Ovis aries: one gene and its partner. The protein of the gene in region 2 purifies or fractionates together with the protein of the main gene of each other region. This does not show direct contact. Links are inferred from orthologs where the notes say so. Each region holds a gene or a part of one and is shown on either strand. Other genes may lie near its edges.

Region 1 (4,133 bases), on a different chromosome or scaffold from region 2:
TCTGATGGTAGTCTAGAAGGTCAAACAAGGGGACAGCAAAGGACATAAAGATATGAGATGAACGTTTTGTTTTCCACCAATGCATTTTAACATACACAAAGGACACCAAAGCTGATAAAATACGTACAAGATTTTTCCCCCTTTCTTGTGGCTACATTTTCAAATTTACCTTATTGTACATTTATCATGATTTCCGATAATTTGTTTTTGCTTTTTTCTAAGTTTTATTAAGGATAATTTCAAATGGATAAAAATGTAGGGGAATAATATAAACCTTTGCGAATCTATCATCCAGCTTCAACAATTACCAACTGAAGGCCATCTTGTTTTATCTGTAACCCCACCCACTGCTCGCCGCCCCCCCCCCCACTCTTGTTTTTCTCAAGAGCACTGAATAGCTGACTTTCTGTATTTTATTATGGAAAAATTCAAACATATACCAAGGAAGCTAGAACAATACAAGGAATCCCATAAGCTCATCACTCAGCTTAAACGATTCATTTAGTGCCAATTTTGTTTTATCTATGCCCCTCGCCACCTCCCCTTACCGCTGAGCTAATTCTGAAGCAAATCCTAGACATCAAGGTATTTTGAAGCCAGTCTGAATGCTTTTATTGTTTAATTCGTATTTTCGTATATTTCTGTAAGCTACAGGCAATTTGAAAACATAACCACAGTATCATTACAACGTCTAAAAACATCGTCATTAATTCCTTAAAAAAAATCAAATGTCGAATCCGTCTTTAAAATTTCCTGATGCACCTTTAAGTATTTTTTTATAGTTGATTTCCCCGAATCAGGATTCAAACAAGGCCTACTCATCGCATGTGGTTCATCTCCAGCTAGCTCTCATTCCTCATTCTCCGTTTCTCCCCACCCCCGCTTTTTTTTTTAACTTTTCAATACGGAAAATTCCAATCCCCGCTATTTTGAGGTAATTGTCAAATAAATTATTTCATTGGTAAAGACTGATACGTCTCTTTTGTATCTCGAATTTCTTTTACGGAAGGAGGTGATAGGAAAAGCACTGTAAGGAACGACTTTACATAATTTTACGTTTTTTCTCACTCTATTACGCGGGTTTTTCTCTCCACAGTAATAGCTAACGTCTTCCGGAGCCACGGTGCGTATTAAGTTATTATACGTATTACATTACCTAGCAGTCGTATATTATACGCTCTAATATACAGCACACGCCTCTGAGGCACAAGTCTCTGAGACAGATACTATTATTATCACCATTTTACAAACATGGAAACCGAGACACAGAAAGAACAGCCAGCCCAAGCTGGGCGTTGGCGAGTAGGAATTCGAATCTAGTTCTGCCCGATAGTAAAGCCATTAATTAATCTTGTCTGTATACGCGACGATAAGAGGAAATCGTCAACCCTTTCTCCCCACCCCCACCCCGAAACCTGAAACGAGGATCCAGTTCTTTCCGACAGACGACGACGTGTGATCACTGCCGACTCTCCAACCGCCATAGTAAAGCCAGGTTTCTCTGGCAACTGATATCCATAGGCAGACACGTCACCCTGGAGGCGGGCTTATGCCCTACAGCCAATCACAATCGTCTCATCTAAGTTTTAGAATGTTCTATAACCAAATGATTGGATGAAGCTCACCACGTCAGCAATGACACTCCGCCGCAGTAAAGGCGGGTGCTAGCAACCTGCTTCTTCACCGTTAAGGCTTGAAGGAAACCAATTACCTTTCTCCTTTAGTGAGGGCTCTGACCAATGACGTTCGCCCTCTTAGGTTTTCAGCCCGCCCTCCAAAAGCGCGACAGCGGTTGGGTCATAAGTCTATAGGGCAGAGTGTTCACGTGGCCCACTTTCACGACCCAGAGTTCCCCTGCCCAGAGGTTTCTTTCTTTTTTTTTTTTTTCCTGCAGGGAGGCATTGTGGGTTCCCCCCCAACTGGGAAAGGAAGTGTCTACGTGGCCTGCGGAAACAGGATGGGCGGAAATGAGCTAAGGTCCCCGCGAGTGGGGAAGCGCTAGGTCAAATCTGCGGCCACGCCCCCGAACCTCTTGCGCAACTCCCGGAGGAAAAAAAAAAAATAAAGGTTGACTGGGGGTTTTGATGTGTGTGCGAGTTGGGGGTGGGGGGTACTGCGGGCGCGCGGTGTCAGGGCTCCTGTGCGCAAGCGAGCCCGCGTGGCCTTGGCGTTGGCGTGTGCGCGAACGCCAGGCCTCGTGGCGCTGGAGGTGGCTGGTGTGCGCAGGCGTGCGCCCCTAGCGTCGGGGCTGGTGTGTGTTCTGGGGCGGGTGCGTGCGCGTGTGTGCGCGCGTGAGCGCGCGCGTTCTATGCGGATCATTTTTCTACTTATGTTTGAAAATTATTCTTATAAAACGGAAATTTAAGCAATTAAGTTATGGCGACCATCACTGAGATAAAGGATTTTCGCTAGAAATACTTCGGTCTCCCCTATCGATTTGATTTTAAACCCTAAAAATACACTTTCTTCCCACGTCTATCTCCGAATCAAAAATCCCGTTCTAAGCCGTAGCCCAGCAGCGGTTAACAACCAAATCCCCCATTCGCTTACTAGCAGTTCCAAAAAGCAGCTTTGCTGTTCCCTAATAGCCGTCTTCCCCCAACCCCCGCTCCTTCCCCCGTCCATCCCCCACCCCCAAGTTGCGTCCAGTTCTGCCACAATATTTTGCTGAGAATATCTGTACACGACAGACTTCCCCTCCACTAGGGACTCCGAATTTCTGTGGGAGCTGAGGCTCTCTTACCTGCTTGTTCTGATTTCCAGGCAGAGTGCTCTTAACGCAAGTATGCACTCTAATTTTCCAGAAAGTTCTCCGTGTGAGGTTTATACCTTTTGAGTTTGCCACTAGATGCCGCCAAATTCCAGCAAAGGATTGGCTGTTTGGTCCCTGGAATTATGGGATTCCCCCATCTTTTTTTTTTTTTTTTTCTGATTTGCTGAGCTTTCCAATCTATAAAGATCATATATATCTTTCATTTCTCGAGAAAAATCAAATTAACTTATTAATAGCCCTACCAGGTAGGGCTCTATTCAAATGTTTACCTCCTTTCTTTACTTCTTTCCTCCTTAAAAAAAAAATTCCCCCTCCCATCTCTTTCTTCTTGCCTTTTTTGGGGGTGCTGCTGCTGCTGCTAAGTCGCTTCAGTCGTGTCTGACTCTGTGCGACCCCATAGACGGCAGCCCACCAGGCTCCCCCCGTCCCTGGGATTCTCCAGGCAAGCACACTGGAGTGGGTTGCATTTCCTTCTCCAATGCATGAAAGTGAAAAGTGAAAGTGAAGTCGCTCAGTCGTGTCTGACTCTTCGCGACCCCATGGACTGCAGCCCACCAGGCTCCTCCGTCCATGGGATTTTTGATGAATGACCCCCAAGCACTGACGCCGATGAAGATACGAAGATTCTAACCCTTTCTGTGGGGTTAGGATCTTTTCAAATGCTGCCACCTGCCCCGCTTTACCACCTCACCCTGACCCCTGCTCTGCTGCAGGGAAAACACAGGTGGTTTTCTGGTCAGTACAGACATTTGTCTTCACTGGGCTTGGACCCTGGGATTGAAAACTGATCTTTCACTTTTGAAATTATGATCGGATATTTGTGTTTTCACCCTGTCTTCTGCAGTAGTACTGTGAAACTTTATTATGTTTTTGGAGTTTAGAGGCCTAATTAGAGGCCTAATTTTGAGCCCGATTCCACCACTTACTAGTTCTGAGAACCTGGGATTTATGTTCTGTGATCCTGTTTTTTTGCATGCTTTCTATATTTTAGATGTGTCATATCACATGATATTCTTTAATTCTTCACAAAATCCTTGTTAGAGGCATACTAATAAAATCAAACAACACAAGTTATACTTATTTCAGTTATAGATTCCATACGTTTGTGTGTGTGTGCATATGTGTTTCTGGGCACACACGTGCACCCTTTGGGGAGGGGTGGGATTTAGAGCAGAGGTTCTCAAAGTGTTTTCCAGACACACCAATAGCACCACCTGGTGGGGAATTGTCAGAAATTTAGATTCTCACCTCCAAACTAATCAGAAATTCTAGTAGTTGTTAGGGTTTGGGTGTCTGTGTTATAACAAACTATTCTGGTGATTCCAATGCACACTTCTTGGAGGGTAGAAATATAATGCTT
Region 2 (2,981 bases):
TGATTCCTCTTCTATGAAATATCTAGAGCAGGCAAATCCAGAGAGACAGAAAGCAGACTGGTGACTGCCAGGGGGTTGGCAGGGGGATGGAGACTGTGATGAAGAAGTTTTGCAACCAGAGAGCTGGTGGCTACACAGCACTGTGAGCGCACTGAATACCACTGAAAGTGCACTTTAACACAATTATGCGAATTTTGCCTCAATCAAAAGAAAGAAAAAAGATAAACGCCAAACATACCTTGACACTAATAAAATTCATTCCACTTTCCCGTGCAATTACTCCAGCCAGTAAGGTTTTTCCCGTTCCAGGAGGACCATACAACAGTACTCCTGTCCTCTGTCGTATGGGCAAGTTGGCAAACAATTCCGGGTACTGAAAAATACGAAAATACGACAAAGAGCTCGACTCTAAAACAAATGACTGAGCAGCTAAAGATCAGGGCACAGAAAAAGTCCTTGGACAGTAACAACTGCCATCTCTGTAACTGTCAATGACAGGAAAGCCATTCCTACTCAAAATAATGAATGGACTCAAAGGGACTAACACAGATTTTCCCTACTGGACCACGGAAGACATTCCACATAAAATGCATATAAATGGATCTGAATTTCTTTCCACTTCTCCTGTTTCCCACCCCCAAACATTACAATAGTACTACATTAAGAAAATAAAAATAAGTATACTGCCCTCCACTTGTATGGCTCATGGGGCAAGCTATGATTGCTACACCAATTCAAATATACTCAATCAAGGAAAGAAAATATAAAGAAGCATGTGTAGTGATAATAGTACAATCTCCCAGGAGATTCCATGCTGAACAAGTAATTTTACCCTCTAAACCACCAGCTTCTCAGCAAGAAAACTTTCTGAACAGGTTTCAAAACTTTTTGAACAAGAAAACTTCTGAACAGCAAGAAAGCTGCCTGGCTCTGTCAGCAACCCCCTGGCCTCCTCTGGGCAGCATGGGAGCTTGCGCTTGGCTGTGGCCAACTGTGTGGCCCTATGGACTGCAGCCGCCAGGCTCCTCGGTCCACGGGACTCTCCAGGCAGGAATCCTGCCAGGAGCTCTTCCTGACCCAGGGATTGAATCCATGTCTCCCGCACTTCAGGTGGATTTTGTAACTCCTGAGCCACTGGGGAGACCCACTGGGTCTCCTCTATTGGGTACATCTATTTAGTCCCATATATTGACAGAATTCCAACCTCATCTGGACCTCCATTCTAATCTGAACGAGGTCCCAGTGTGAGCATTTATGCAGATGGCTCACATGCCTGGATGACGCTGGTGCCCAGACCCAGCCTTCAGGTCCTGACCCTGCAGGCCACGTCCCATGCCCATGTCCTTCCACACAGGCTTTAACCCCCAGTCGTGGGTGCCACTCAGTATGCCCCAGTCCCCACCAGACAGTCCCCAGTACCTACATGTAACCGAGGGCCTTACCCATTTCTTTATCTCTTTGGTCGGGCCCCTGATCTCATGCGAAGGTCCTTCATGCTCAGGTTTCTCATCCAAACACACCACCTTCTCGATTCTACTTCTGATCTAAACAACAGTCAGCCTGGTGGGTGCTGCCTGCTAACTCTGTCTAGAGACTGTCACCCAAAATCTGGCTAAATCCATCAGCTCTGGGGGCCTCAGTGACTCTCCCACCTTCTAGTTCATTTCTGCTCAATTGTAGCTGATGGCTCATATGCTTCAGTGAAATTTGAATTATTCAAGAAAAACCCAAGAACTCTGAAATTCACATCAAACTGTATTTTTACTACAGGACTTCCCTGGTGGCACAGTGGAAGAGAATCCGCCAGCCAGTGCAGAGGACGTGGGTTCAATCCCTGGTCCAGGAAGATTCTACATGGCTTGGAGCCAACTAAGCCCACGTGGCACAACTTCTGAAGCCCGTGTGCCCTACAGAGCCTGTGCTCCACAACAAGAGACGCCACCACAACGAGAAGCCCGTGCACCACAGCAAGGAGAAGGCCCTGCTCATCACCACCAGAGAAAACCCCCACAAAGCAGTGAAGACCCAGTGCAGTCAAAAATAAAATAAAATCTATCTACTATAAATATCACCCCAGCATCATGGGCAAGGACTGTATCAAATACTTAAAAAATCTGTTCAAGTGCCCAGAATAGGACTGGACGTTTATTTGGTAACAATAAATTCTTATTGGGTCAACCTGAGACTGGGCAAGCCAACACATACAGCCAGAGCCAATGATTCAGGGGTGTCACAGGAAGCAGGCAGTCCTCAGTTTGTTTCTAAGCACCTTGGCTGGTAACTGGATAGTATCCACTAGCATCTGCCGAACTTCATGCAGTCCACCGATCCTGTCCCAGCCCAGGTCCCGAGGTTTATGTAGGTTGACATTTCGCAGAGACACAGGAATAAATCCTCGGAGCGCCTTTTGGAAGTCCAATGTTGTTAAAACTAATTCTGTTTGGAAATAAACACAACTTCTTTTGGTGGTCATATCTCTATGTGAGTCCTCATGCAGCCGCCTCCCTTCCCCAGCGTGCCCTCCCCTCTAGTAACCACCATTCTGCTCTTCATATCTACATGTTCATGTTTGGTTTGGTCTGTTCATTCATTTTGCTTTTTACGTTCCACATGAATAGAATCAGGTGATATTTGTCTTTCCCCGTCTGATTTCACTGAGCCAATCTTAACTCAGTTAAAAAAAATGTTGTCAACTTAGCTGGAAATGGCCATTTTCTACTCACATACCTGCTTATTTGAATGCTAACATGGACTAGATTTAATTCTTACCTTACTACAATTACATTTCTCCACAAGGAAGGAAGGAATCAAATTTCGGTTTTAGCAATAAAACGTACCTTCCCTGGTGCACACGTTCTGATGAGAGAGACGAGAATGTATGGCTCGATCCACAAGCATGGTAAAGTCTCTAGCCACAAACCCTTCGGTTTCTTTAGCTATACACTGCAGGTCAAGACCGGTGAGCCTCTTCATGTCACAGT

What was found. Proteins that work in one complex are often made in the same cells at the same time.
Region 1: the proteins of GATAD1 (region 2) and MORF4L2 purify together in Homo sapiens (affinity purification with mass spectrometry; 4 studies listed by BioGRID and IntAct, with this or other methods). This does not show direct contact. The link is inferred for Ovis aries from reciprocal best matches to the Homo sapiens genes GATAD1 and MORF4L2.

The regions. Positions count from the first base shown.
Region 1 is NC_056080.1:129,270,830-129,274,962, forward strand, and holds the start of MORF4L2 (mortality factor 4-like protein 2), read right to left. Parts: upstream 2,803-4,133; 5' UTR 2,744-2,802; intron 1,488-2,743; exon of another isoform or gene 1,416-1,487; intron 13-1,415; 5' UTR 1-12. UniProt on the Homo sapiens protein: Component of the NuA4 histone acetyltransferase complex which is involved in transcriptional activation of select genes principally by acetylation of nucleosomal histone H4 and H2A.
Region 2 is NC_056057.1:10,570,784-10,573,764, forward strand, and holds the end of GATAD1 (GATA zinc finger domain-containing protein 1), read left to right. Parts: intron 1-238; coding exon of another isoform or gene 239-373; intron 374-1,770; coding exon 1,771-2,049; 3' UTR 2,050-2,269; coding exon of another isoform or gene 2,270-2,436; 3' UTR 2,437-2,474; downstream 2,475-2,981. Other genes in the region: peroxisomal ATPase PEX1, read right to left, coding at 239-373, 2,270-2,436, 2,838-2,981. UniProt on the Homo sapiens protein: Component of some chromatin complex recruited to chromatin sites methylated 'Lys-4' of histone H3 (H3K4me), with a preference for trimethylated form (H3K4me3).